Linked DNA regions of Drosophila melanogaster. The protein of the gene in region 2 interacts with the protein of the main gene of each other region in a pairwise test. Each region holds a gene or a part of one and is shown on either strand. Other genes may lie near its edges. The genes, in order: SkpB and CG8272.

Evidence for each region.
Region 1: the proteins of CG8272 (region 2) and SkpB interact in a two-hybrid assay, tested with the Drosophila melanogaster proteins (2 studies listed by BioGRID).

The regions. Positions count from the first base shown.
Region 1 is NT_033778.4:12,134,440-12,148,896, forward strand, and holds SkpB (SKP1-related B), read right to left. Parts: upstream 5,791-14,457; 5' UTR 5,546-5,790; intron 5,488-5,545; 5' UTR 5,486-5,487; coding exon 5,000-5,485; 3' UTR 4,856-4,999; downstream 1-4,855. Other genes in the region: CG18343 (uncharacterized protein), read left to right, coding at 4,419-4,718; Smyd4-4 (SET and MYND domain containing, class 4, member 4), read left to right, coding at 6,512-6,775, 6,832-7,955, 8,068-8,401; Hen1 methyltransferase, read left to right, coding at 11,321-11,542; bsd (back seat driver), read right to left, coding at 12,263-12,757, 12,896-14,457.
Region 2 is NT_033778.4:8,882,588-8,898,756, forward strand, and holds CG8272 (uncharacterized protein), read right to left. Parts: upstream 8,815-16,169; 5' UTR 8,714-8,814; coding exon 8,663-8,713; intron 8,532-8,662; coding exon 7,272-8,531; intron 7,209-7,271; coding exon 6,450-7,208; coding exon of another isoform or gene 6,387-6,449; 3' UTR 5,817-6,386; downstream 1-5,816. Other genes in the region: RyR (ryanodine receptor), read left to right, coding at 142-251, 467-812, 1,035-1,335, 1,604-1,738, 1,796-2,215, 2,284-2,485, 2,549-5,228; DCTN2-p50 (dynactin 2, p50 subunit), read left to right, coding at 9,367-9,402, 9,487-10,408, 10,475-10,659; Sec31 (secretory 31), read left to right, coding at 11,358-11,554, 11,617-12,580, 12,643-12,886, 12,945-13,057, 13,200-13,256, 13,364-13,466, 13,617-15,043, 15,108-15,215 and 3 more.

The DNA.
Region 1 (14,457 bases), 3.3 Mb from region 2:
TGACGTCATTGAGGATTCAAAGTCGCCGACCGGCAAATGTCATATCAATAGATGTGGTCTGGGGTCTTTAGCCCGCCCACTCCAACCTTTGAAGCACGCGAACGCCATTTGGAGGCACATGGATTACTCCGATCGGGTCGTGACCCCTTAATACATCTGCCCATAACTCGAAGCCCTAAAGCGATGTTGAGGACAAAAATATATATTCTTTGTAATAAATACGTTATTATAGAAAATGCTTCTTCTAAGAAAACCAATCCCAGCTAAAGCACAAAAGTATTTTTCAAGATACAAGATTTTAAATTTAGTTTTCAAAAACTTTGTATACTTGGAATAATCGTTCCAAAAAACTACTACGGTTTCAAATGCATCCTTTTGACGTTTCTTTAGTTTCAAACTAAACAGTTAAGCGGATGTCCAAGGGATCTCCGACTTTCACATCGCAATAAGCAACATAAACGATATTTGCGTACGCTTTTTTTTTTTTTGCTGGGGGAACTGCGATTGCTTTGTGCTTCTTCTTTGGCTTTATGCGAGAAAACGAGTGTCGACGACATCGTTTGTCGGGCAAATTGAAATTTTATTATAGTCAGCTTATGTGTGCCGTACAATAAATTCTCATTTTGTATAACCAAACAACAACGGGCCCAACAACATCAAGATTAAGTTGGAGAAAGCCAGGTGGGGGCAAGTCAGGTGCGTCAGATGGGCAGGTGCGTCAGGTGAGCTGGTGGCTTGATTGAATTGACACGACGGAGTGGAGGCCACATGGCATCCCTCACTTGGAGCCGAAGCTGAAGGAAACTACTCCACTGCCGATTCACCTTTGATATTTCAATATTTCAGGCGGGGAAAAAAAGTGGCAGCTTAAAATTGAATGAAAATACTGAAAATATTAAAATGTGAAAAAAAAAATGTGAAATAAGGAAAAAAGGAAAGTGTAAAAATAATATACATAAATGATTCCCGTTGACTGCGCAATTTCATTTATTTGTGAGTAATTTCATTCAGCCCATAATTTCATAACGCGCTGACATTTAAGCGCGGATAAAGGCCTTTTTGGATCTCTGGTCAAATGATTCGGGTGGATCCATTAAGCATACACAAAGGCGCGTCGGAGCCCAAAAGGATACACTCGTATCCTTTGGGCCAGTGGCTCTTTTGTTTGTTCTTGGGCTTCTTGTTATTTTCCTATGCCCGCCAGCCTTCCTTTATTTCTTAGCCCATTTTTCCCCGCAGTCTGCCAGGCGAAAACTTTGCTTTGGCCCTCGAATATTTTCGAGTGGCTCCTTACGGCCACTTCCTGTGGGAGAACCCTTGCCACCTGTTGCTTCCCGCCACCTCAAGTTGAAGCTCTACGCCCGGGACGCAAAGCAATTTTGTGCGCGTTTTTTTCGGCGTGCTCATTAATTAAAAACAAGTTGACTATGTCAAATGACTTTGCCCTCGGCGAGCAACAGACTCGTATACTCGGATACTCAGATACTTGGATACTCTCGCCACTCGAGAGTCTTCCGTCGCGAAAAGGTCAGCTCTGAGTTGCTAAAGATGTGGCTGCCGGATCCGATGCACTTTACAGGTGACACGTGTCGCTCGCCCAGGTGAAGTGGGCCAAAATGGGTAGCAAAGTGCAAGAGCACTGCTGGAAGAGATGGGAGACCAATCTAATGGAAAAACAGCGAAAGGTGTCAACGGAATATAGTGTTCCCGATGAAAATGGCAATGGTGAAGCTGGCATATGTACACACACACACTCTTGTGTGTGGATTGTCTGCACGCCACAGATTAAATCTGTTCGGGAACTCCGTGTGCTTTGAAGTGCTTTAAATATTAAATATTAAGGGATTTCTAGGAATTTGTCAAGCTGCCGAGCGAGGAAAATCCAGAGCGGGCCAAAATGATGTGGAAACGAAAGCGGGCGTTCGTTCATGGGTGGAATAGCAAATGAAAGGAACCGGAAACGCTCAGCCAGAAGTCGAACGAGCAACAGGAAGTGCCGGCGAAACAAACAAGCAAACAAACAAACAGACAGACAGACAGACAAAGAGGCAAAGAGGCAAACACACGTGGACAACAGAAGACAACACTTTTATGAAGCCAGCAACAAAAGCCAGAAATAATAACAAGCTGGCTCTAGCAGATTGTGGCCATCCCTTCCCGTCACAGTCGGAATGAAATATTTTGTATTTCATGCACACTATTCTACACTTTGTCGTCCACAGAAACAAGGCGTGACACAGTTGTTGCACTTACAACACCCTCGGACACACAGAATCAGACCAACTGGCTTGGGCCAGCAAACGGAGATGGCCACTTGGATGCTCTACAGATGGTGGTTATCACTGTTTCCAAAATGGCACAAAAATTTACAGTTCTTTCCAAACAAAGAAACTATAAATGAAGTTCTTCTTAAGACGTGCGATTTTAAGCAAAGCCAATTGGCCCAGTCTGCTTTTCAACACATTTTTAAAAGATCTTAAGCTTGCGCACAGTGTGTAAGCTTCTTGATCTTTCCAAAATTCAAGATCAAAACAAACGGTTTATCTTGCATACTTTACTACAGGGTGACCTCTATCATCCAGTGCTGTTAATTAACTTATTAGCTGTCTTTTCAACTTGGAACTGTGCAACCCAATGAATTATATAGTGCGTTGGCATCACTGTCACCACATGGTCACATGGTCGTGGGGTCGTGCCTTATTTATAGCCCTAGAGCCCGTCCTCCTGGGCTTTGTGTCAAAGTCAGGCTGTCAGTTGCATCAAGTCGAGTTCAGTTCCCTGAAGTTTCGTTTCTAGTCCAGAGTGCAGTTGCAGCCCAGTTGGACATCTGTTTGCACTTTCCGCCTACGTCCTTTGTCCAGTGTCCACTTTTTCATATAGTTTGCGGCGGAAAAGCTGCGTGGCAAAGAGCATGGCTAATAACAGGTTGACAGAAAGAATAGGGAAACTGAATTTTTGGTAAAATCGCTATGATCTAAAGCATTTTAGGTCTAGCTGCTCTCATGGTTTCACACCCACTGTCTGTAAGTAATAAGTACAAATATACATAAAAGACCCTACTTTGCGCCATTTATTCACATTTGTAAGCTGGGTGGGCGACTTGACTGCTATTTAATTTTAATTTTGCCGGCGAATAGTAGACGCAGTACGTTGAACCGAATGAGCTCTAAGAAAAATAAAATTGCTCGTTCGCCTGTCGTGATTGTATTCTTTTTCATTTTTGAAGCATCAGTTTCAGGTATCGTTTTGCACGGCAGCCATTCCCTGGGGAATCCCTGGGATTTAACAAATTTTCAGCCAGTTCAATGCACAGCGTTGAAGTTTAAAGGTCGCCATTACAATTATGGCCAGGTTAGCTTTAAGACACTGTAGTTTGAAAAAAAAAATGGGTTTGGCCACTTTGATAACTCGAGAATGGAACCATCAGTGCGGCATAGCAGTTTGTCTTAGTACTCCAATTTAAATGCACGTTATCCAGAGAACAAACCACAATTTGAAAAAACACCTATACTTCATACATTATTGTTTAAGCTGTATTTTATTAGTGACATTAATTGCAATAATTAGCTGTGCGGTTGCTAATGCTGCTAATTTAAAAACTTTTCATAAATTTAATCAAACGCTCTTGGTTCTGGTTGTGATAAGTGAAACAGCATTTATTGATAAAGTGCGGTTTATTTTAGAACTTATTTAAAAATTGAAAGGTACAAGCTATTTTTAGAATATTTTGGACTTCCTGCCGATGCCAAGCATTAAACACTTATAGGTTGTAAACAAAAAGTTTTGCATATTTAATAAAACCAATTATGTATTTTTTATGTTTTCGTAGCTATAATTAATTTTTTTGTGATGTACTACACAATCGCCGAACATTAAAAACCGTAGACTATCACATACCTCTTACTTATAAAGGCTTTAGACTTCATCTTTGTCGCGGACCTGTTTGGGGCTATCGACAGTTAGTCAAGACCCAATTTAGAGCCGCTAGAAGTTAGAGATATTTGAGTCAGGACTTTACTCCGTTTCGATTTACTCCGTTTTAATCTCAATCTTAATCTCAACTCTCTAGGATCTATTGTTTCTGAGATCCCGACATTTATACGGACGGACAGACAGGCGTACTCGGCTATTGATCCTGATCAAGAATATATATACTTTTTATGGTCGGAAACGCTTCCTTCTGCCTGATACATAATTTTCAACGAATCTAGTATACCTTTTACTCTACGAGTAACGTTTATAAAAATTCTATCCATTTCTCATACCTCGATGTTTTGAAAAAATGCAGTGCTGCCACTACGATCGAAATGCGGTCACACTAGACAGCTGATTTTTTCCAACTGGAAGATTTGCTTTGCACACTGGACAAAGGAAATGTCCCATTTGTCGGCTTATCCAGCATATACGTCAGTCTAAACATGGAGAAAAGCTGCAGTATTGGCAACGGACGGGAGCAATACGGCTGGGGACATGGCGAACAATGCGGCACGCAGTTCCTTGAATGTGTCTACAGGAACGCGTCCATGTACTCTGTTCTGGGCGATCTGATCACATACGTGGTGTTCCTGGGGGCTACGTGCTACGCAATACTTTTCGGCTTCCGACTGTTGCTGTCCTGCGTGCGAATCGTCCTCAAAGTGGTTATCGCCCTCTTCGTCATCCGATTGCTGCTAGCTTTGGGCTCCGTCGACATCACATCTGTTAGCTATTCCGGGTGAAGTGACCAATCTGGCGAATGCCATCGGGACCACGGCCTTTAAACTACATTAACTAAATCAAATATAAATTCCAAATTGAAGAACACTGTAAATTACATTAAACGGTTTGTCATTAATTCCTTTGTTAAAGAGCACTTGCCAACATTAAAGCATAATATTTTATTTAATTAACCCAACAGAACAATTGCTGACTCTTAACATGATCAGCTAACTATCTCAATTGAAATGTTGATTAAACAAAAAATTTAAGCTTTAATTTCGTCATGGTAAGTTGATGGTATTCATTTATCCTCACACCACTCGTTCTCCTTGCGCACCTGTTCCTCCTCCTGTGGCAGAAAGTCATTCTGGATGGCGAAGGTGTCGCGAATAGCCTGCGGCGACTTGCCCTTGATCATATTGGCCACCGTCTTGCAGGTGACGTCGAGCAGACCCTGGATATTCAGGTAGTTTGCCGCGAGGATCAGTTCGAACAGCGTGCCCTGGTCGACTTTGAGAAAGTCAGCGTCCCAGGATGAGATGTCATCAGTGCGCTTCTCCTTGTTCTCAACCTCTTCGGTAACCACAGGATCGTCCTTGTGATAGGTGGCCCAGTGGAGCACTTTCTTCAGGATCAGCGAGTTGACATTCGGCAACGGCAGCACACTGTTGTCGCTCTCATCGCCCAAATCCTCTATTGCAATGCGAATCGTTTCCGAGCACTTGGCGATCTCCTGATCCGTGTCAAAGATCTCCTTGTCCGCAGACTCCAGCCGAATGATGGGCATCTCTGCGTAAAAATTTTTATTTTTGCTTATATCTATATTTTCAATTTTATTCGTACACACCTCCTGCTGATTTGGATCCCAAGATTTGATACGAAATCGGTTTGATTTATTTGCAGACGCAGCCAAACAAAATTTTTAGACACAACACGATGTCACTTAGCTGTGGCCTACTGGCTAAAAATAATATTCCCTTGCCTTCAACTTGAACCGGACTGGTGCGGCGGCCGCCTGAGAACAGAGCGTTTGTTAAATAAAGAACTTGGCTGCCAATAATTCCCCGGATTCTTAGAAAACTAGAACGTCGTACGATTTGAAGAGGAAATTTGTTAGTGAAACGGCCGCCAGTGTGCACATACTCGGAATGGCTTTAAAAGATGGCGCCTATTACAGTTAATGGTGTGGAGACACTGTGACAGCTAGCGGTAAACAAAAGCTCAGTTATATTTTTTTATAATGTATATATATATATTTTTTTTAAACATATATATTTTGGCACAATTCAAGCGTGCTGGGCGTTGTATTATTTAAACAGAAACCTACAAAATTCTGCCTTTATAGTTAGTTTTTATCCTGTTTTTATTTAATGAATTTCAAATTTCAAATATTTTTGTAAACAATTTTAAGCTAGGCCAAGGGTTTGTGTCGCGGCTAGTGCAAGCAGTCAACTTGCGGCATTTTTTAGTACATTTCCCTCTGTGCTGGGTTATATATTCGCAGGCTATACTCCACACTGCTTCCAGCGGAATCGTCAAAAAAATAACATTAAAATCGCCGTGTGCATAATTAGAATATTTCCGAATAGTAATCGCCCGTGAAATCGCTAATTAGCGGTCAGCACTTGCGCCAGTTAAAGAAATCGCGGCACCGGCAGTGGGCCAAAAGAACATTTTTTCCGGCTGAAAAAAACAGGCGGCGGCGTCGACACGCGGACCGAACCAAAGGATCCGAAGCCATCCGATCAGATCTAATCCGATCCGGAGAAAATTCCAGGACACTAAGGACTTCCGAAACTACCCCGCACAAGAGATGGACGTGTACGACGTGAGCGATGATCTGATAAAGAAGCTGCAGGACTGGAAACTAATCGGCATCATATCCGGCAAGTTCAACGAGCTGAAGGAGAACCATCGCAAGGTTGACTTCGTGATGCGCGCTCTTATTGACTTCAAGTACATTGAAAAGATATTCCTGAATGTAACGCTTCGAGAGGACAAGTGCAACAAGCGGAGCGTGGAGTTCCGTATGCTGGGCAACGAGCAGTTTTCGCTCAAGAACAGGAATTACTTCCAGGTAATCATTGCCCCCTCAATCGGCAAACTTAAGCTAATCCCTGCGACTCGTTTCAGGCTCTAGAGCTGTACAACAAAAGCATCTGTTATGCCGAACCGAATTCGGAGCACCTGTCCATCGGCTATGCTAATCGGTCGGCGGTACTATTCGAGTGGAAGCGCTATCGGCAATGCCTGGACAATATCAAGCTGGCAAGGCAGGCCAACTATCCGGCGAGACTGAGCCACAAACTAGACAAGCGAGAAAGGGACTGCCAACAGCTACTCGATCAGCAACCGCCGGATGTGGTGCCCTATGAGTTCAAGCTCAGTTTCGAACCGCATGCCCAGGTGCCCTTCATCGCCGACTGTTTGGAGTTGCGCGAAACCGCCGCCGAGGGTCGCTTTGTGGTGACCAATCGGGATTTGGCCGTTGGGGATCTTGTGTCCGTGGAGGAGCCCTTCTGCTCCACACTGCTGACGCCGATGCGATACATTCGGTGTGCCACCTGCAAGCGGGAGAACTATCTGACCCTCATACCCTGCGACAGCTGCTGTTCCACGATGTTCTGCTCCGAGGAGTGCAAGTCGATTGCCATGCAAACCTATCACCGCTACGAGTGCCCCATCATTGACTTTCTGAACCGCATGTTCAACAAGATCCACTGTATCGCACTGCGCACCACACTGGTCGCGCTGAATATCTTTCCCAGCATCGAGGAGCTAATTGACTTCTGTGAGCAGGAGCAGAACCAGGACAAGTGCGCCTTTGACCTCAACTACAACGAGCTGACGCCGGAGGAGCACTACCGGGCCATCCATGGACTGGTGACAAACCAGCACCTGCGCTCCGTCTCCGATCTCTTCCAGCGCTCCGTGGTCTGTGCTGTGCTCAAGCACTTCATAATCGAATACACACCCGTCAAGGAATATTTGGGCGGCGAAGAAGGCGTGAACTTCTTCACGGACCTCCTGTTCCGACATCTGCAGACATCTCCCTCGAATATGCACGGCATCGACCTGGTCGAGCAGGTTAACGAGACCAAGGACGACCAGACGCACTCGTCTGGGGCGTACGCCTTCCTCTCGCTCATAAATCACTCTTGTGCGCCGAATACTGTAAGGATATACGAGGGCACCAAGGCGTACATGTTCGTCCTGCGGCCTATTAAGGCGGGAAATGTGCTCTACGACAATTACGGGTAAGTAGTAACCAAAGCATTCTGACCACACCACTTTAGTTCAAGCTAATAGGGGTCCAAGTCACTGCAGCTCTCTTCAAATACTAAAACTAATAGATATCCAACTTTTTAGTGCTCACTTCGCCATCTGCAGCAAGGAGCAGCGTTTGAAAAGGCTGTCCCTGCAGTACCGCTTCGACTGCAAATGCGAGGGCTGCGAGCTGAACTATCCTATGTTCGGAATGATGCCGCACAAGGCGACGGTGCCATCGGTTACCGATGACACGGAATTGGCACTGAGCTCCTACAACTATGATTTCGCGGTGAGCAACTATCGAAAGTACTGCGACTTCCTCACGCAATACGGTGACGACTATCCGTGCGAGCAGATTAGCTCCGCGGAGGAGTGCCTAAAGATGGCCCTGCATATCATGGCGGACGCAGTGCCGCTCAAGGCGAAGATGTAATCGGATCCTGCCGCTGAACCAACCCACACAACCAACACGGACGAACTTTTCCTTTGCTAACTTTAACTGGAGACAGCGTATTACAAGCGAGACACAAATCAAGGAGAGTAATTGATTATACATACATGTTGTTGCCATAAGTCTGTAGCGCAGGCAGCAGCGCGATGGGGAGGGAGCATGCCCTTAACTTTTATATTTGTAATTGTACATTTTCGACCTTTGATTATGTTTTACCCCGCACCAAGCCCGCACACCACACCCACACAACGCCCAGCACACCCACACAACGCCCAGCACACCCACACAACGCCCAGCACACCCACCACACATTTCACAACAATTCGAAAGTTCAAAATTCTAAAGTTTATTTATTTTTTGATCACAACAATGTCTTCGATGAAAACAAACAAACAAAGGATTATTATGCAACCTACGTCGTTTTTATAATTATTTTACAAAAACCAACTGAAGCAGAAATAAAATATTTTCAAAACGAAGTGACTTTGGCCTCAAGGCATTTTGCTGTACAGGTCCAGCAGGTTCTGGTTCAGCAAGGATCCTCCCCGGGACATGGACGTCGCCACCTTTTCCGAGGACGATGCCGATGTCGTGGGCTGCAGCTGTACAAACTCGCAGCCAGAGGAGCTGGCCGCTGTGTCATTGAAAAGCACATTGCCGAAGGCCTGCTCGAACTGCTGCTGGAACTGGCGGGCGTTGATGGGCTGCAGATCCTCACTTTGCGCCGGATTTATGTTCAGCTGAGCGGCCAGCTGATCCATGCTGTTGGGCTCCCGTTGTTGGCGCTCCCGCTGGTCGGCACTCTTCGCATAGATATTATCGCCGGCTGACTCAACGTATTCCGCGTAGTAATCTTGATCCACGTCCCTGATGAAACTACCGTCCATGGCCTGAAAGCCCATGCGAATCAAAAGCGATATCTTTGTGTTAAAGCACTGCAGCCAGGCCCGATTCGTCTGGTAGATGGACAGCTGCGCATCCTCACCGCTGGCATTCCAAAAGTCCAGCAGCGTGTTTTTCGTGAAGTCAATCAGCATATGCCGTTTGGCATCCGGATACAACCTGTTGATCGCCTCCAAGTGCCGAAATGTAATCTCCAGCAGATGGTGCTGATGGCGGGAAACGAAAAGCTGCCACTTGTAGACCATAGTCATCAGATTCCACAGCTTGGACATCGACTGCTCGTCGAGTCGCATCAAGGAGCAGGTGGCAATGTCGTTCAGCATAAACTTGCAATGCTCGGCGGTCAAAAGCTGCGCACTATTGTGTTTCGATCCGTTTAGGAGCGAGTCTATAAACTTTGGTTCGAGCAGCACAGAAGTCACATCGTGGATAACTGGTGGAAGATATATATATAGTGTCTTTTAAATTTGAATTTGAATTTGAATTGAAGCATATAGCTATGCAGAAGACTCCAAGGCTCTAACTTTAACCTTTACCAAAGCTTGCAAGGACGACTCTAGCATCTCAAATGTAATATCCATGTTCAAATTTCTTGGCGGGATTTCTTACCCTGGACCGATTTGTCCTGAGCAATCTGCTGCGCCTTCAGCCGCTGATCGATCACGTAGAGCATCTCGCAACCGAGATTGACCAGGATGAAGACATTGGCCCGGGGATTCTACAGCTGGCGTGGACTAAAGTTGGCCATCGTTTGACGGGCTACTCGATGGCACGGGCGGCGATTGCGAACTAAACTGGAAAACCGATGACTTCGTCGAGCACGCAAGGCTCGGAACCCAAAACCGTTATTGGATTTTCGGTTTCCGTGCGGACTGCCGGCCCCCATTTACACGGAAAACAAATACGTAATCGTTTCGTATAACATCGGTTATAAAAAGCTAAAGATCCAAACTTGATTGTTCGGTATAATCAGAAAACATTCTTCAATATGTTTTCTTACTTAATTTTTTGAATAACCAATAAGAAAACGAATGTATATGTGTATATTTTGTAGGCTAAAAGGGTTTTGGTCTCATTAACTCATCATAAATATACAATATAAGTTGACCTTTACCATATATCCACTGGGCGTTTTTTCCAGTGTCCTTTCGCATTTGATGGCTTTATGAGAGCCTCGGCAACGTCTTTCAGTGCAAACAATAACGAAAGTCTGTCCGTGGCGACAGGACAGGCCGTGTATAATTATGGCAGCCATGGTGGGAAGGACGAACCTCCACCAGCGCCGGGCAATAAATTTTATTGATTTGTAAATTTCCATTTCAAGCGCAGGGCAATGGTAATTAGCCTGGAAATTATGGCAGCAGGTTAAAAAGTTAAAGCGCTTACCCTATTATACATATGTGTATGTCCATCACAACAGGATGGAAAGCTCCCACGACCAGTAGACCAGCAGACCTGTCTGCTAATTCGTTGGTCGGGCGGAGTGGTTGGTGGTTGGTGAGGTCTACCACCAAGTTCCAGTCCAAATGGGAGGCAAGCACCTGCAGCGAAGGTCGTCCGGAAAGGATGCCGGAAATTGCGTGATTCCCCTACCACAAAAGCTACACTGGTTTGAATTTACTACCTAGCATTTGAAAAAAAGATCGCCAATTCAAATAGCAAGATATTTACATATATTGCTTAAATTGAGTTGCCGCATTTAATTTGAAGATTTCAATGCATCAATTTTCAAAACAGGAACTATCGAAAATATCGAATTGGATTCGTATTCTAGAAAGGCTTTAAAACCATTTGAAAATAGTTATGGTTAGGTATTTATGATATGATAGTTCCTACAGAAAAAAGGACAAATGAATTCGTTACACAAAAATGACCGCCCCTTTTTTTGAAAACAGCACCTATCGATATACAGATAACAAAGTTCTGGGTAGTTTTCCAAGTGCAGTGACAGTAAGATTTTCGTCACGGATTCCAGTGGTCACTCTAACGATACGGGCAATGTTTTCGCACAAGTTTATTTGCGGGTCCTTGACCAAAATGACTGAAACCGGCATTACATTCGATCCGCCGGTGTACGAGCAGCGATATTGCGCCACAATCCAAATTCTGGAGGACGCCCGCTGGAAGGATCAGATTAAGAAGGTCGTGGAGTTCGGTTGTGCCGAGATGCGCTTCTTCCAGCTAATGCGTCGCATTGAGACCATAGAACATATTGGACTGGTAAGAGCTTGACTTCGACTGGTAATGAAACAGGCACAAGTTGATTGTTAAGGAAATACATTTCTAGTTTATTTATTTCCGCTGCTGTTTATACACGCATATCCTAGCTTAGATTTGTATTGTTTTTATGAAATAACCATTATCTAGTTATATTAAATACTTTTTGAGGAGAGTATGTACCTGGCTGCATGAAATGTGGGTGAAACGAGTCGTACATGTGGTCTATAATATGGTTGTTGATAGCCTAACGAAACTAACACAAAACTCGAAAATAAATGTAATATATAAAAAATCATGGATTTCCTATCAAGGCCAATGGCGCACTGCTCCTGTGCACCTGCTAAACATATAAACATCTCTTACATCTGGGGACTACTCGTACATGGTATAATGGATAATTCAACAACATCTTCCCTATGGAGCTGAGAGTGCCAATCAAAAAACCTAATGTCAACTTATCGATAAAATGTTTAAAAACCAAAATTACACAACATGTTGTCGGTCTCACTAGTTCGTGTCCATGCCTCGCCTGCCGACAGGTCCGAAGTATGATTATAAGTAGGATCTGTCCTGTTCGTTCCTTAATTACCACTAAAAATACTTGAAAGCGAATTTAGATTTATTCTTTTCCGTTCCGTTCTGTTCTGTTCTGTTTCCATTTATCGTCCGACTTCCTAATGATCCGTCTATTAGTCCCTATTTCTAAGTGTCATCTGGCAATTATTTGCGACAGTGTCTGGACGAGTGGACACTCCGCCCCTTGCCGTAGTTGTTCTCGTCATCGTATTCGCCGTACAGGTTCTGCACAACGAGCAGACTCGAGTTATTCTCCGCATCGTGCTCGCCGTGTTTGGGTTCAGTCTTATAAAGAGCTCTGCGCGTACGGCCTGACTTCAGCTTTCGCTCTCCCTCGCCGGTGGCCGATGCCAGAGTGGAATTCTCCTTGCGTGTGGCGCAGCCACGTTTGTTACTGGCCACTGCCGATAGCGGCGTAGTGCGGTTCTTGCTAACGGCTCCGGCGGCCAGTTTGACGACGCCCGAGTTCTTGCCCGGACGACCCACTCCGCGATGGACCTTCACCGGCGGCTGGTTTTGGTGGGGCTGGGCCTGCCTGCTGGTGGTTTGCTTCCGAGATGTGCCCTTGGGACGACCACGCGCACGTTTCTGGGAATGATCGGAGCAGTCACTGCCCTCCATTGATCTATCCGATTCATCCTGTGTTAAATAAATAAACTTTATTATAATAGCTCTATTGAAACTTCGCCAAAAAAATCGTCCAACCGAAATACACGTTGCTCATCTTTTTTTAGCTGGTTAGATAAATGCATATGCATATTATTTTATGAATGTTACCTCGCCTTCGGCGCTATCTGCCGCCTCTCCATCCTCCTCTTGATCAATGTCCATTGCCTCCTGGTTCTCCTCTTCATCGTCTTCGTCTGCGTCCTCCTCTTCCTCCTCAATATGCTCCTGGACAACCAAACCCTTTTCGCGACGCCTCTGCTCCATGTCTAGTATCGCGTAAGTGGGTTTACCTTCATAGCGCCTTGGAAGACGGGATTCCAGCGGGCAGATGGTCTCCTCCCGCTCAAACTCCTTCACTGCCCTTTCGCGGGCTATTTGATCAGGATCCTGCGATAGCACCTCCGCCCACGAAAACTTCTTTTTCGTCGTTTTCTTATTCGACTTGGAACGCAGATTCTTGGGCGACACGCGGTTCGTAAGTGAGTGCTCCTGGAACGGAGTGCTTAGCGTTGAGTTTCGCATCACATTCACGGCTGCCTTGTTGTTCAGCTCGAAGATGTCACACTTGCTGCCATCCACCACGTCCTTGGTGGAGACACAGGTGCGGAGGATCTCCTCGCTGCTCAAACGCATTTGACAGGGATCGTAACCCAGGCGCTGGTACTCGCGCTTAAAGATTTTGCGGTAGCGCTCGTAGTTGGGTCGCTCTTGGTATGCCAGCTGACCGATCTGTAGCAGGAACTCTCCCAGATATTTAGGAACTTGCTTGCCATAGAACTGTCGCAGCATCTCCGGCACATCCGTCATAAACAGCTCCTTAGCGCGATGCACTTTCTCCTGCTGCTGCTGCTGCGCCACGTCCTTCCACGGCAAATAACCCTCGGACCAGTACAACAGGTTGTAGCCTAGGCACTCCAGATCACTTCGTCGCGAATGGGCACCCAGGTGGGCGTCACGTGACGTAAACTCTAGCGTGCCGTCGTGCGCCCTTCGCTGATCCATTATAAAAGGACGGTGAACTCCGCGATCCTGGAACTTAGACGCCAGGCCGAAGTCGATAAGAAACACATGTTCCTCCTCAGTGGGCAGGAACTTGTACTCCGTCGGGTTGTTGTCCAAGTGCTTGCTGCCCCTGCTGCGTAGTTTTTGATCACCGTTCGGTTCCTTCTTTACCTTCTCCTGGCGGCTAGCCCGCGTCGAAACCGGCGTTTTTTTCGGTGTGGCTATCTGAGCGCTTCTGCCTCTTTTAATAACGGAGCGACGTGACGAGGGGGGAATAAATTCATCCGACTCGTTATCAGACGATTCAGGCGATTCATCACTATTTTCCGCTGTTTCCTTGGGGTAACCGTCTTCGTTAAACTCCTCGCGATAACTAATCCGCTTGGTGGGTCGCAAATAGTGCGACTTAACCATCTCCTCATACATGGAGTTGCGCTTTTCACGACGGCAGGCGCGCACTGGATTGGAGCCGCTGAACTGGATTGCATTGCGTGCGGATCGCTTTTTGTTCACTGGAGTGTGGAAGACGTCTAGGCTGTTGCTATTGTTGCTGTTTGACGTGGCGCCATCATCGAAGTCCTCGTCGTCTTCGTCTTCATCCTGCTTAATATCGACAATCTTTTTTAGCGCGAACTTTTCGCTCTTCAGGAAGTAGTCATCGTCGTTGG
Region 2 (16,169 bases):
TTTTTTGATACTGAATCCCCACTAATAGCTAATGCACTAATGTGAGCGCCGTGTTCTAAACGCCATTTGTATTATTGTATATTTTTATGGACTTGCCGCACGCTTGCTTGCCACTTGCCAATCCGATTCCGAATCCCTTAGGCAGCCAGCTCCAAGAACAGATCCAAGCGGTGGGGTTCAAAGATCTCGGTGGCGCGTCGCCAGGCAGTCATTTCAAGCTTACGCGCCAAGCATCTTTATCGCATGAGCAGGTGGTACTCGTTCTCGTAGTCGCATCGATTGGTTCATCGCCTTCTAAGTTTCTTTAATTTTCCACCCCAAGGATCAGCATCAGTTCTTATTTCAACTTTTTGTTGCTCTCTAACTTGATTTGATTAACCATATGCATGCCAAATTGTTTTTTTTTTCTAACTATTATTAGCTGTCTTGGCACATATCACTAACTTTTGAACGCATTCCTATCCAGACATCGGGCCTGCAACATCTTCGCACGATCGTACTACGAGCAGTGGCTGCAGGAGGAGAACGTGGGCCAAGAGGTGATGGTCGAAGATCTGACGCAGACGTTCGAGGACTCCGAGAAATCCAAGAAGGAGGGCGAGGAGACGGACAGCAAGCCGGATCCGCTAACCCAACTGGTTACCACTTTCTGCCGCGGCGCCATGACGGAACGCAGCGGTGCCCTCCAGGAGGATCTGCTCTACATGTCCTATGCCCAGATCGCGGCCAAGTCCACGGGCAAGGAGGAGGAGGAAGGCGGCGACGAGGAAGGCGGTGAGGGTGGCGAAGAGGGCGAAGGCACCAGCATCCATGTAAGTCGATGCCAACTAACATAGACCCACTAACAACAGCTTAAACCCCAAAACCCGACATGTCTGATTCAGTGTCGGATGAGGCAGTTAATGGTAACTATTCCTTCGGCTGAAATTACTAAACAATGGCTTTATAATTTTATATATCCCATACACAGCTATAAGACCCAATCTTATATATATTATTAGAACCTTAAAAACCATTCACTAATACCTCCACAGGAACAAGAGATGGAGAAGCAGAAGCTGCTCTTCCATCAGGCACGTCTCTCCAATCGTGGCGTTGCCGAAATGGTGCTGTTGCACATTTCCGCCTCCAAAGGTATACCTTCGGAGATGGTAATGACGACACTCAATCTCGGCATCGCCATTTTGCGCGGCGGCAACATCGACATCCAAATGGGCATGCTGAACCACTTGAAGGAAAAGAAGGACGTTGGCTTCTTTACCTCCATCGCCGGACTGATGAACTCCTGCAGTGTACTGGACCTGGACGCCTTTGAGCGAAACACCAAAGCAGAGGGTAAGTCCATCCGCCCCGTGATCCCACGCACCCACCTCCTCCAGCTTTGATTTGCCGTGCCCGTCATCTTTGGTTCGAATACTTCTAAGTTCGATTACTCTATTGATTTGTGTCTACTTCCTTCCAACTGATTTCCCAACCACCCAACACCACCATGCCTCGCATGCCATTACCACCAACCAACCACCAACCACCAACCCACCAATCCCGTGTACGTGATTCCCGCTATCGTTGTACCAATCCACCCAAATTTGTCACACGAACAAAGAGTATATTCCGAGTGCGGGTGCAGGTCTTGGTGTAGGTTCCGAAGGCGCCGCGGGCGAGAAGAACATGCACGACGCGGAGTTCACCTGTGCGCTGTTCCGGTTCATCCAGCTGACCTGCGAGGGCCACAACTTGGGTGAGTTATAGAAGGAGAGAGTTGAGAACATGTGACCTCTGAGCCTATCCCTTACAGAATGGCAAAACTATTTGAGGACCCAGGCGGGTAACACCACCACCGTGAACGTGGTCATCTGTACTGTGGATTATTTGCTTCGTCTGCAAGAGTCCATCATGGACTTCTACTGGCACTACTCCAGCAAAGAGATCATCGATCCCGCTGGAAAGGCCAACTTCTTCAAGGCCATCGAAGTGGCTAGCCAAGTATTTAACACCCTCACTGAAGTCATCCAGGGTCCGTGTACCCTCAATCAGCAGGCCTTGGCACACTCGAGGTTGTGGGATGCAGTTGGTGGCTTCCTCTTCCTGTTTTCCCACATGCAGGACAAGCTGTCAAAGCACTCCAGCCAAGTTGATCTGCTCAAGGAACTGCTGAATCTGCAAAAGGACATGATCACCATGATGCTTTCCATGCTGGAAGGAAATGTTGTTAACGGTATGGGAACTGGCATATCAACATTGGATGACTAATGCAGATTAATATTCGAATATCCGAATTAACAGGCACTATTGGCAAGCAGATGGTGGACACGCTGGTGGAGTCTGCCAGCAATGTGGAGCTGATTCTTAAGTACTTCGACATGTTCCTGAAGCTCGCCGACCTTATCGAATCGCCCAGCTTCCACGAAGTGGACATGAAGAACGAGGGTTGGGTGACCCCCAAAGACTTTAGGGAAAAGATGGAGCAATCCAAGAACTACACACCGTAAGTGAAGATAAAGTATGGCCAATCACAGGGTATCACAGACTATAACGCTCCGTTTTACAGGGAAGAAATGGATTTCCTTTTGGCCTGCTGCGAGCGCAACCACGAGGGCAAGATCGATTACCGGGCCTTCGTGGAGCACTTCCACGAACCATCAAAGGAGATCGGTTTCAACCTGGCTGTGCTCCTGACCAACCTCAGCGAACACATGCCAAACGAACCGCGCCTGGCGCGCTTCCTGGAGACCGCCGGCTCGGTGCTCAACTACTTCGAGCCCTTCCTGGGCCGCATCGAGATTCTCGGCAGCTCCAAGCGCATCGAGCGCGTTTACTTTGAGATCAAGGACTCGAACATCGAACAGTGGGAGAAGCCCCAGATTCGCGAGTCCAAGCGTGCCTTCTTTTATTCCATCGTCACCGAAGGTGGCGACAAGGAGAAACTGGAGGCCTTTGTGAACTTCTGCGAGGACGCCATCTTTGAGATGACCCACGCCTCGGGACTTATGGCCACCGATGATGGCGGTGGCAATGTGAAGCGGGACACTGCCTATAGTTCCTATATGAGCGAGGAAGAGGAGGAGCGAGCCGCTCGTGATCCCATCCGCCGCACCATCACCGCCGTCAAAGAAGGACTCAAGTTCGGAGTGCACATGCTTAGTCCGGCGAACATCAAGCATCAGATCGGAGTGATGCAGACCAAATCCATACCAGAACTCATAGTCGGCTTTTTCAAGATCATCTTCTATATATTTTACTATACCGGATATGCACACTTCTGCGTGGTGCGTTACATATTCGGCATCCTACTGAACCTGATGCGAGGACCTGCTCCAGAGCAGGAGGAGGAACCGGTAGTGGAGGAGGAAACGTTTGGAAGAGCACTGCCACCGCTGCCGCTTGAAGAACCACCGGGCACGGTGCAAGCCTTTGGGCTGGACATCAACAAGGAGGAGAACGGCATGTACAAGGTGGTGGTGCACGAATCTCCAGCCAATTCCTCGATGGAGGAGGGCGGAGAATCCAGTCCCGAGGACGGAGCAGCTGCCAGCGGCGAATTGGTCGAAGGTGAACCACACCAGGAGCCCATTTCCATTGTGGATCTGCTGGGTGGAGAGGCTGCAAAGAAGGCGGCACAGGAGCGGCAGGAGGCGCAAAAGGCTCAGGAGGCCGCTATGGCCTCCATCGAGGCGGAAGCCAAGAAGTCGTCATCTGCGCCTCAGGAGACTCCAGCTGTTCACCAGATCGACTTTTCTCAGTACACCCATCGCGCCGTTAGCTTCCTCGCCAGAAACTTCTACAACCTCAAGTATGTGGCCTTGGTGCTGGCTTTCAGCATTAACTTCATGCTGCTCTTCTACAAAGTCACCTCGTTTACCGAAGAAGCAGACAGCTCTGCCGAAGAGGAGCTCATCCTGGGCTCCGGGTCGGGAGGAGGTGCGGACATCACGGGCTCTGGGTTTGGCGGATCAGGGGACGGAGGATCGGGCGATGGCGAAATGGAGGACGAGATACCGGAACTTGTGCACGTGGACGAAGACTTCTTCTACATGGAACACGTTCTCCGCATTGCGGCATGTCTGCACTCACTTGTCTCCCTGGCCATGTTGATTGCCTACTACCACCTCAAGGTTCCATTGGCCATCTTCAAGCGGGAAAAAGAGATTGCCCGCCGGCTGGAGTTCGAGGGATTGTTCATTGCAGAGCAGCCGGAGGATGACGACTTCAAGTCGCACTGGGACAAGCTGGTAATTTCGGCGAAAAGTTTCCCGGTGAACTACTGGGACAAGTTCGTGAAGAAGAAGGTGCGCCAAAAGTACAGCGAGACCTACGACTTTGATTCGATCTCTAATCTGCTGGGCATGGAGAAGAGCACGTTCGCGGCTCAGGAGAGCGAGGAAACGGGCATCTTCAAGTACATCATGAACATCGACTGGCGCTATCAGGTGTGGAAGGCTGGCGTCACCTTCACGGACAACGCCTTCCTCTACTCGCTGTGGTACTTCAGCTTCTCGGTGATGGGTAACTTCAACAACTTCTTCTTCGCCGCCCATCTGCTCGATGTGGCCGTGGGCTTCAAGACCCTGCGCACCATCCTGCAGTCTGTGACCCACAACGGCAAGCAACTGGTGCTCACCGTGATGCTGCTTACCATCATAGTGTACATCTACACTGTGATCGCGTTCAACTTCTTCAGGAAGTTCTACATCCAGGAGGAGGACGAGGAGGTGGACAAAAAGTGCCACGACATGTTGACCTGCTTCGTGTTCCATCTGTACAAGGGTGTGAGAGCGGGCGGTGGAATAGGCGACGAGATCGGGGATCCAGATGGAGACGACTACGAGGTCTACCGCATCATCTTCGATATCACGTTCTTCTTCTTCGTTATTATTATTCTGCTGGCCATTATCCAGGGTCTGATCATCGACGCCTTCGGCGAGCTGCGTGACCAACTGGAGTCGGTGAAGGACAACATGGAGTCCAACTGCTTCATCTGCGGGATGGGCAAGGACTTCTTCGACATAGTACCGCACGGCTTCGACACGCACGTCCAGAAGGAGCACAACTTAGCCAACTACATGTTCTTCCTGATGCATTTGATTAACAAGCCGGACACGGAGTATACCGGCCAGGAGACGTACGTGTGGAACATGTACCAGCAGCGCAGCTGGGACTTCTTCCCAGTGGGAGACTGCTTCCGCAAGCAATACGAGGATGAGCTTTCCGGCGGAGGCGGCGGCGGCTAAATGACTGCGGATTCGCCGCGTCTGATTTCTGGGCACAATCACACTGGCACTAGACGGTCCAAGGACTCTCGGGATCCAATTTTGTATCGGTAGTTTGACAACATCTGGAATTTTTACCTAGTCAACTTTAGCAATGTATTTTAAGCAATATCCTACACAATCGTTTTTATGTACGTAGAGGAGTACGACCTGTTTCCAAACTGAAATATTGATGACGATTCTAGCACGTATAACAACAAATGTTCTTAACTCATTTTGAAATAAATCTATTCATTTTGAACGAACCCCTTTGGTCTTCGATATTTTATTTATTCCCGTTTAGATCGTCAAGAAGAACAAATTTTGTTTTGGGTAAATATTTAATTACTTTCGAACATTAAGACTTGTCATCTCAAATATCAAGGCTGGTTAGTCGAATTATTTACAAGAATAGAGCAAAAGCTTGTAAATTTTCGGAATACCTTTCCATAATGTAAAAACAGTCATTTGATTAACATGTATTTAGTTTATACCTCGCATATTGTTCTTCAAATATAAATTTAACTAACTGTACGATTTACTAGACACTCATTAAGTTACTCAGTAATTATTTTAATTTTTGATCTTTATTTACAAATACATTAACCACTTAAGTCAGTTGAGTTCAGTTAACGATTTAATCGTATAAAGCTTATAAGAAGTGACAGTGACTTGTTGTAATTATAACCACAATGTGTTTTCAAAAACTTCATTTTTGGGTTTTTCTCCTAAACTGAATTAACAAATTTTCAACTATTTAATAACTACTAACGAATCAAATCAAGTTAAATACTCAACAATCAAACAAACAACTTTAATTTTGGCAACCGATCACATAATTTACAATCGTGTACACTTATCATACGATTCGTACCTTACAAAAAATCACAGTTGAATGCGGACAAACGTTACGTACGAAAATTTAATTGCATTACAATCGAGACTTGTAATTTTGCTAATCTAACGTGCGCGGTTAGTGTAAATTTAAGTGCACATATATGCAAATACATATATGTCTGCATATATATGTATATGTATGTATATTTGACTAAAGCTTTCACAACTATAGCCCAGCTGCTGGGGGCCGATAGATAAAAATAAATATATGTGGGGGGTTGTTCCGACGGCTGGGGCGATTGACTAGCGGAAGTTGTACAGCTGAAAGTAGTACAACATCAAGACAATGAAGATGGCGGCAAAGTATCAGTAATCGAGTCGCTTTTTCAGGCGGAAAAACTCGGCGTTGTCGATGCTCGTCAGATTGTCCATGTTCAGGTTGCGCAACGTCTTCACGCCGGATAGTCGCTCCTCCAAGTCTGTGTACATACTCCGACATCGATAGATTGACAGCGTTTGCAGGCAGCTGCAGTTGGTGATAATGGCGTCCAGCGTGTGCTCCGTCAGCTGGCTGCAACCGCTGATGTGCAGAGCCTTCAGGCGGGGCAACTTAGACGTTACCACCTGGATGGTCTTGTCCGTAATGTTGTAGCAGTCAGATAGGTCGAGCTCCTCAATCGATGGGCAACTGCTGGCCATCGCCTCCATGCCCAGCAGGGAAATCTGCTGGCAATTCGAGAGCATTAGCCGCCTCAGCTCGATGTGCTTCAGCCCATATTTCAGGGATACATCACTGATCTTATTGCAGCCACGCAAGTTTAGCGATCGCAATCCCCGCAACTGCTGAATGTTGTGACCCTCGAAATCATCCTCTCGTATCAGGTTCATTTCGTAGGCGGCCAGCATGGCTTGCTTTCGCCGGGCATCCCGAACAATCTCATCCTCGGCCTTGCTCCTGAGCGATATCTTAATGGACTGCAGGGAACCCGCCAGGCTGTCTCGTTCCGCCAGCGTGTTCGAGTACGGCGGGTAGAAGTTGTCCATCGACGACACCTGCGAACCCGACTGCTTACGACTCATTTCCAGCTTGGATATGTTTATACCTGTGAGGGCTGCATCGGTTAACTATATTTAAATAAAACCAAATTACAAGGCAGAACTTATATTTATCGCGACTTTCAGTCTTACCCCACTGCAGTGCTCTAAAGAGAGCTCGCGCAGCCATCGCAGCTGGCCGATGACCGACTGGATAGCCTCATCGGTGGCTCCATTGACGCAGTGATTCAAGTGCAGTGATCGCAGACATCGTAGGTTACTGGCAATTGCCTTGATGCATTCCTCGCAGATCTGAAGGTATGAAACGTTCAGCTCCTGTATTACCGGATTCTCCTCGCTAGCGATGCCTTCTATGATGCCGCTGCTTGTCAAGTTATCGCAGTTTGAGATGTCCAGACTTTTGAGACACTTTAGCTTGGCCAAGTGGATGGCACCAGCATTTGTAATGCTCAGGCAGCCGTTCACCTTCAAGTGCTCCAGCTGCGGATTAGTTTGTACCAAGGCGGCCAGATTTTCATCGTTAACACACATTGTGGCCGACAAATCGAGGGCACACAACTGGGGCTGTGTGGCTAGAAAGTTCAGGATTGTGGTGCAGTTAAGCTGTCTGCATCCGGCCAAATAGAGGCGCTGCAGTTGGAGATTGAGGTCGCAAAGGGCCAACAAAGCCTGGCCAATTAGGGTGTGGCTAAAGTTCAACACGCGCAACGTACGTCGCTGCAGGTTCAGAATGGTGAGGATGAACTTGAACGTGAGCACAGACTCGCTGGGCAAAACGTGATCCGAGGAGCTGGTGGCAGGGTAAAATCTGCGATGAATAGCATTGTGAAAGGCTATGTGACAGCCGGACATGTTAATCGCTTCCAGACTGGGCATGAACGATGTGAGACGCATAAGAATGGCATCCGTGAGGTATTGGTTCTCGCACAGCGTCAGCTCCTTGATGCCGGCCAGATTGCTTGCCAGGTCGTTTAGGTCAGGACAGGAGTTGTTGTAAGAGTCCAGGAAAGAGCCGGACATGAACAGCGGCAGACAGCGCTTCAGCGACAGCGAGTGGAGATGGGGCAGCACGCCCAGCATGCCGTAGAACTGTTTGTCATTCAAATCCACATTGTCCAGAGCCAGGGACTGAGCGGTCCTGCCCATGAAGCGCATCAATTCCTTTACTTGTCCCAGTGTCACGTCCTCGAACAGGAAGTGCTGGAAACGCCGCTCGCAGCGCATCAGATCCACTCCAGGACTCAATTGATCCGATAGCACCACCTTGGAGAAGCAGACTCGCGTGCGCTGGTTAAATTCCGCCTGATCCAGCGCCGCATGCCATCGCTGGCAGGTGGATCCTGCCGCTTGTAAGTCCGAGTAGCCGAGATAGCTGAAAATCTTCAAAACAATCTGGGGGCGGAACAGAAAAAAACAAAATCAGCTGACTGCCCTAACAGGTATATGAATATGCAGATATAGATACGCTCGAAATGATGGATTGGTCACGGGACCGCGGCAGTCCGTTCACATTATATGCTCACCTCCAGCGGCAGATCATCGTATCTATGCAACCCGTACTCTAAGCCAGACATTACTCTATTGTTTTCGGATGCAAAATATTAAGATTAGTACAACCAACTAGCAGCTCCCACCGCCCACTCGCTTCGCCCGCAAACTACACGAAAACTACAGTGTTGACTAACTTAGTACCTGTGCTAGGTACAGTAGGACCGTGCCTTTTTTCTATCCTCACTGGTCTATAAAATACCAGAAGAAAAGTGTACCTTCATTGATTTACCAATTGGAAGTCGATCATGGAATTATTTACCTATTGCTTATGAATGATTTTAAATGTATATCGTTTTTCCTAAAATCAAAATAGGTTTAAATTAGCACAAAAAGCTTTAATTTATTTTTATAAATGTTTGCATCTATGAATCCAGTTAACAAAGTACAATGTGCAAGTACAATTTATTTATATCGATGATATATTTTGCAATACTATTTACTCTTAGCTTATTAGCCGTTACAAGTAATAACTGTCTTTTTTAAATGACTTTTTAGATACCTCTGTTTATAAATACTCCAATGACAACTGCACTTTGGCATTTGTTTGGTAACCGCGCACGGTAACTTTTTTTATGACATCAGATCGAATTGATTGTTGTAAAAAAGGATTTTTGAAGGTTTATAATTATTTCGTTGCCAAAGGATTCCAAACACCGCCGTCGACGTGCCCACAATAATGGCCGATCCCAAGTTCCAGAACCTACCGGGAATAGTAAGTCGGAACTCCGCACCATGGCAGTGACGTTTAAGCTTTCGTTTTTGCCCATTTATACATATATGTACTTTATGTTTTTAGGCTTATGACCAGCCGGACGTGTACGAAACTCCAGATGACCCGGAGCTCGATACATCCGACTACTACGAAGAGGAGCCGGAGAACGAAGCCATCGAGCGACTGCACATCTCGCCGAGCGTCGCTCACAAGCGCTTCAGCGGAGCAACGGTCGAGGGGAGTGTGGACTTCACGGATCGCATTGGACGACGCATGTGCCGGGGTTACGATACGCGCGGCTCCAGCGACTACGAGCTGGTTGGCCAGGGCGAGAAGGAGACGCCGGTGCAGAAGTGCCAGCGCCTGCAGATCGAGATGAACGAGCTTCTGAACGAGGTGGCCGCCTTGCAGGTGGACCGCAAGGTAGCCGACGAGGAGAAGCAGTCGTACGATGCGGTGGCCACGGTTATCAGCACGGCCCGAAAGGTGCTGGAGTCGCTGAAGCTGGAGCAAGTGCTGGGCAAGGAGCAGACGCCTGGAAGTAAGCAGGTGAAAGCACTCATTAGCCAGGTGGAGGAGTTCAAGCAGTCCGGCGTTCTCACAGCCATACCCACGCCTGGCACCGATCTGGCGGCCACGGCCCGCGTAGCCAGTCTAGAGCAGCGAATCTCGCAGCTGGAGAAGGTGCTGGGCGCTCAGCCGGACAAGTTGAGCCGCCTTACCGCCGCCACCAACACCACCAATGTACTAGAGGCAGTGCGTCATCTAAGCACCAAGGCGGCCCTGATACAGCCTGATAAACTGGACACCATCGAGCAGCGCCTGACCTCGCTGGCCGGCAAGATGGATGCTATCGCCGAAAAGTCCAGCGGCAGTGCCCAGGACGCCAAACGAGATCAGAAGATTACGGAACTATACGACATCGCGAAGCGCACGGAGCCAGTGGTGGAAATACTGCCGCACGTCATCGAACGCATGCAAGCCCTCGAGGCCCTCCATAAATATGGTAAGCAATTCTATTTAGCATTTTAGCATTGTGCTTGTTTCTGTAACTAATCAACTTGCTCTGCAGCAAACAATTTCGCCAAGATCATCGCAGAGATTGAGCAGAAGCAGGGAACCATCACCACTAGCTTGGTGAACAACAAGGAGCTGCTGCATTCCGTACAGGAGACTTTCGCCCAGAATCTGGAGACTATCAACAGCAAGGTGGCCAAGGTGGAGCAGCGTGTGGCGGCCATATCGTCTGCCAAATGAGTGGATGCATACCATGCGTATTAAATAAACATAGCTTATATTTATGAAAGATACCTATAATAAAGAGATCTACATTCGAGTCCAGTTCCAGTCAAAAAATAAATGCAAAGTGATCTGGAATTTAAAATGAGTTCATAATAAATATTAATATTAAAAGTGCTGAAGCTAGTTTACGAATATAAAATGCGATGGAAAATAAATCTTTAAATAATTTCGACTATCATTTTTAATAATGTATACTGATAAAAACTATTTTTAAAATTGCACATTGAAACGGAATATTTAAATTGCATACCGTTAAACTCGCAGTATATTCTGGTCGCACGCATTTGGTATTTCAGTGCGTGCCCTGTGGTATATTACGTTGGCTCAGAGCACGGTCACACTGGCCGTTCCTACGGTTCTTAAAAATATTAACGATTCCAGTTAAATTCAAGATCAAAAAGTCTCGTTGCAGCGCAAGCGAGTACAAATTGCATTCACAATTGTGTGTAAGTTGCGCAATTAGCATAATTAAAGATACTTAAAGGCCGGCGGGCACTACTGGGCCACATCTGCAATGGGGAAGCCAATGGGAAAAGTGATGACGGGGCTTACTCCAATTGGACGTGACACAATTTCGTTCTGAACTTGTACCTCCCATAATATTTGTGTTTTTTCGCTTTATTTACACGAGCAGCACGAAGGGACATTGCAAGATGAAGATCAAGGAACTGCAAAAGACGGTGAACATCGCCTGGTCGCCGGCGCAGCAGCAGCAGATTCTCTTGGCCGCCGGCACCGCCGCCCAACAATTCGATTCCAATGCCAATTCCACTCTGGAGTTGTACTCACCGAACTTCAGCGATGCCACATACGATCTGGAGCTGAGGGCCAGCGTTTCCAGCCAGTACAAGTGAGTTATGGCTTTCAATTTGTGCATCAAGTCGTTCACATAACCGGCTTTTCCTCCCGCAGGTTCCAAAAACTCATCTGGTCCCCAGTGGGACCACACCCCAGTGGCCTGATTGTGGGCGGCTGCGAGGCGGGGCAGATCAACATATACTCAGCCGACAAGCTGCTTGCAGGCAAGGAGGAGCCGCTTCTGAAGCGCCAGGACAAGCACACAGGCGCCGTTAGCGGGTTGGACTTCAATCCCTTCCAGAACAACCTGCTGGCCTCATGCGCCTCCGAATCGGAAATCCTAATCTGGGACCTCAACAACCCGGAAACAAGCATGAGTCCCGGCACCAAGACACAACCACTGGAGGACGTAAAGAACGTAGCATGGAACAGGCAGGTGCAGCACATTCTAGCCTCCGTGTTCAGCACACGCTGCGTGATTTGGGATCTGCGTAAGAGTCAGCAGATCATCAAGCTCTCCGACTCGCAGTCGCGAGTGAGGTGGCACGCTATTGAGTGGCATCCGGAGGCGGCGACGCAGGTGTGGCTGGCTTCCGAGGACGACCAGGCGCCAGTGGTGCAGCTGTGGGATCTGCGATATGCCACGGCTCCAGCCAAAACATACCAGATTCATGAGCGCGGAGTGCTGGGAATGTCGTGGTGCCTGCAGGACAACGATCTAATGGTTTCGTGTGGCAAAGACAACCGCATCTATTGCTGGAACCCCAATACCAAGATTCCAGAGGGAGAAATCCTATCTGAGGTTGCCACCACTGCCTCGTGGTACTCCGATGTGCAGTTTTGCCCACGTAATCCAGCTCTGATAGCTAGCGCCAGCTTGGAGGGAGCAGTTTCCATTTACTCTCTACATGGAGGCACTCACCACCTTGTGCAAACCGCCAACAAGATTGCCGACTCGTTTCCGGGCATGGATCAGTTTGCCCAGGAGCCAATTCCGCAGCAGGCCACGCAAGTGGTTTACCATGACCTGGCGCACGCTCCCAAATGGATGAAGCGGCCCTGTGGCGTTGCCTTTGGAGTTAGTTAGCTGGCGTAAACAAGTTTATAAACCTATTTAAAAATCAATTTCTTCGTTTTTAGTTCGGTGGCAAGTTGGTCAGTTTCAATGGAACCTCGAAAACGGTCAAGGTCCAACAGCTAACCACCGAATCCGCCCTTGTGGACCGGGCTAATGCCCTGGAACGCTCTCTGGTCGATGCCAATTATTCGGATTACTGTCGGCAGCGAGCAGACGAGACACCGGATCAGCATGGCCGCTACATCTGGTACTTTATTAAGGCGAACTTCGAGCTTAATCCCAAGGAGGAAATGCTGAACCTTTTGGGTAGGATCTCTCTTTGCGTACGCGGCTACTTAAGCTAAGATTTTGTCTTACTTTTAAGGCTACAACAAAGACGACATCGATAGCAAGTTCAACAAGTTTATCAAGGAAACGGATGGCAACTCGCATTCGGATGTGGATACTCTGACGACCCGCATCTCGACACTGACCCATGTAAGTGCTCATTAGACATTGTCTTATCAGTCGAAAAAGAAAAACAAGCAGCATTGCGCACACTTTCGATCTTCCACGTATGCTCATCTTGCTCTGTATATTTCTATCCGATAACATAACTCATGCTATGCCATTGCCGTAGAGCGACTCTTCTGAGGTCGAGTGTGATCAGAGTACTAACTATAGCACCGATAATTCGGTAAGAGCTTACATGCCAGGCTCTTAATCGAGGCCAACAAACTCAAAGCAGCTTTTTCTGGGAACCATTTGAGGTGTATTCTTATACAAATGTTATTTCTTACCCAGCAGACGCAAGATAACAAGTTTGATGGCAATGCAATCGACTCACAAAATCACAACGACTTTGCCACTCCTCCGAGGCCGCAATTCAAGGTTCCCAGCGGAGACCGTAAGTAATACATGTTGTATAGTGCTCACTTAGTTTGGTAACTTTTTATCTAAACATTAATAACCTAAAAGCTTTTCTTTTGCGCAAAATAGTTCTAACTTTGCCAGCTAGTAAGCACTTGTTAAATGATCGGTTTTCTACACTTTACAGACTCGGATAGCCTGATTGCCGAGGCAATACTCACTGGCAATGTGGACGCTGCCGTGGAGCTCTGTCTGGAAGCACAGCGCATTCCTGAAGCCCTGATTATCGCCTCAACGGCTGGCATTGAGACTCTGAACCGCACGCAAACGCGCTACCTGCTGCAGCAGAAGAACGAGCTATCGCACGTTATCTCCGCTTTGGTATCGCGCGACTGGTTGGACTTCGTCAACAGATGCACTGTGGACTCGTGGAAGGAGGCCCTGGTGGCCGCGCTCAAGCACAGCGAGCGCAAGGTGGTGGACATCTGCGAGCGACTAGGCGATCGCCTCTTAAGTGAGTGCGCCTCAAGCGCCGAGTTTACGCGCAACGCCATGCTCTGCTACATTTGCGCCGGCAGCATCGACAAACTGGTCACCGCGTGGTACCAGTTAAAGCGGCTGGAGCAGCAGAACCCCGGCTACAAGCCCAACACCACAGAGCTGCAGGACTTGGCTGAGATGGTGATGCTGATGTGCAAGTCGTTGGAGCAGCAAGGCATATCCGTGGACTTGGCTGGTCGCTTTGCCGGCTTTCTGACTGAGTACGGCGGTCTTCTTGCGTCCCAGGGTGCTCTGACTGCAGCCCTGCAGTACATTACCACCTTGGGCGGAGGAGCTGCCGCCAGCGAAAGCGATGTTCTGCAGAGCCTACGAGACCGGATAAATAACGCTGTCAACCTGGACTACACCCAGCCACAGGCAGCAGTCGCTGCTGCGCCACACGGCTACCAACCGACTCGTGGTCGTGGATCGTTCTCGCAGCCACAGCCTTCGGCTCCCATGCCCTACGGCCAGCCGCCCAATCAGTATGCACAGCCCAGCTGGCCAGCGCAAGTGCCTCCACTACAAACAAGCTACCCAGGAGCCCAGCAGCCTCAGGCTCCGCCGCAGATATTCAATCCGCAGCCTGTGAAACCAGAGCCCCTGGCCCAACCACCGCGCCCACTCAGCAATGCCAGCTCTTCAGGTGGTCCGCCGCCAGCAGGCGGCGCATCATCCTCCGGCGGATCGGGTCTTTCTGGCCGCTCCAAATACGTTTTGGACCCATCTGTAGCAGCTCCAACCAGTTCCTACGGAATGCCATACAATCCAGTGCCGGCCCCCGTTCCATCAGCGGTTCCATTTGGCGGCGGAGGAGTGCCTGGGCCCGCACCCCAGCCAGCTAGCGTGCCAACGTACAACAGCAACGCGTTCAACACGAATCCTATTGCGGCTGCCCAACCTTACAACCCTTCGCCACTCATGCCAGCTCAGCAGAATCAGTTCGTGCCCGGTGTGAATCCCATCGAGACAATGCCACCGCCGGCTGTGCCACCAGTCATCCAGAATGTGCAACGCAATCCCACACCACCACCTGGCTGGAACGATCCTCCTGCACTGAAATCTTCGCGAGCGGTAAGTACTTGGTATACGAAATGTCATAGGCTTTATCCTAATTGTTTGCTTCTTTCTCTAACAGCCTAAGCCGAAGCCGGTGGTTGAGCCAAGTGCTGCTATCTTCCATCCCCTGTTCCCAGTCGACCCGAATCAGAACCAGAACGGTTATGTGGACCCCTCTCAATATCAGGTGGGATTTAAAAGCGGATTATTGGTCAGGAAGTAGATCAAAAATGTATTTATTTTCTCCAGCACGCAGCACCACTTGGAGGAGTGCCCAATACGTACTACAACCCGGCTGCCTTCAACAACAATCCCCAGCAGCAGCAGCAGCATCAGCAATCATATCTCCAGCCTCAGCAGCCAGCCCCTGGGATTCAGCAGCCAAACTGGCAGGGACAACAGCAAACCATTGGCTATACCGAGCAGCCAGCGCCCATCCAGCAACAGCGCCAACCGGCGCCGCCCAAGGAGAAGCCACCACTCCCCGAGGAGTACATCTACTTGCAGACTGTGCTGGAGGAGCTGAAGAACCGCTGCCTGGGCGCAACCAATGATCCGGTAAGTCTATTAATAAATGATCCATATAGACAAAAGGAATAACTTACTTTTGTTTATAAATTTTCTTACATTTTAAGCGCACAAAACGAAAGTTTGTCGATGTTGTCAAGAGGCTCGAAAATCTCTACGACTGCCTGAGAGATGGAAAGGTGAGAGCTGCTGCCTTAGATCGCGATTCAATTGCAATTCTCAAATGGCATTTACTTTAATTCCAGCTCACTCCCACCACGGTGCAATATCTGAATCAAATAGTTCAGTACATTCAAATATCCGACTATGCCAATGCTATGGAAATCCACACGCAAATCGCCTTCGGAACGGACTTTGCGCAGTGCGCGGGCTTTATGCAGGGACTGAAGGTCCTACTGCAATCCGCATCCGAGCTACAGTTGGTTCTGCGTTAGAGCCCCGTCGCCGGATCGCAGCCAAGTTCACTAAACGTATATTCTTATTGTGTCTTCAGATATCGATGTCAAACACAAAATGTTTTGTATACAAAGAGTGGTTCTCTACGTTAGTTTAGGCTGGGATCACCAGAAGATTGTCAACGTTATTCCGTGTATTGAAATATATTTCCACTTAA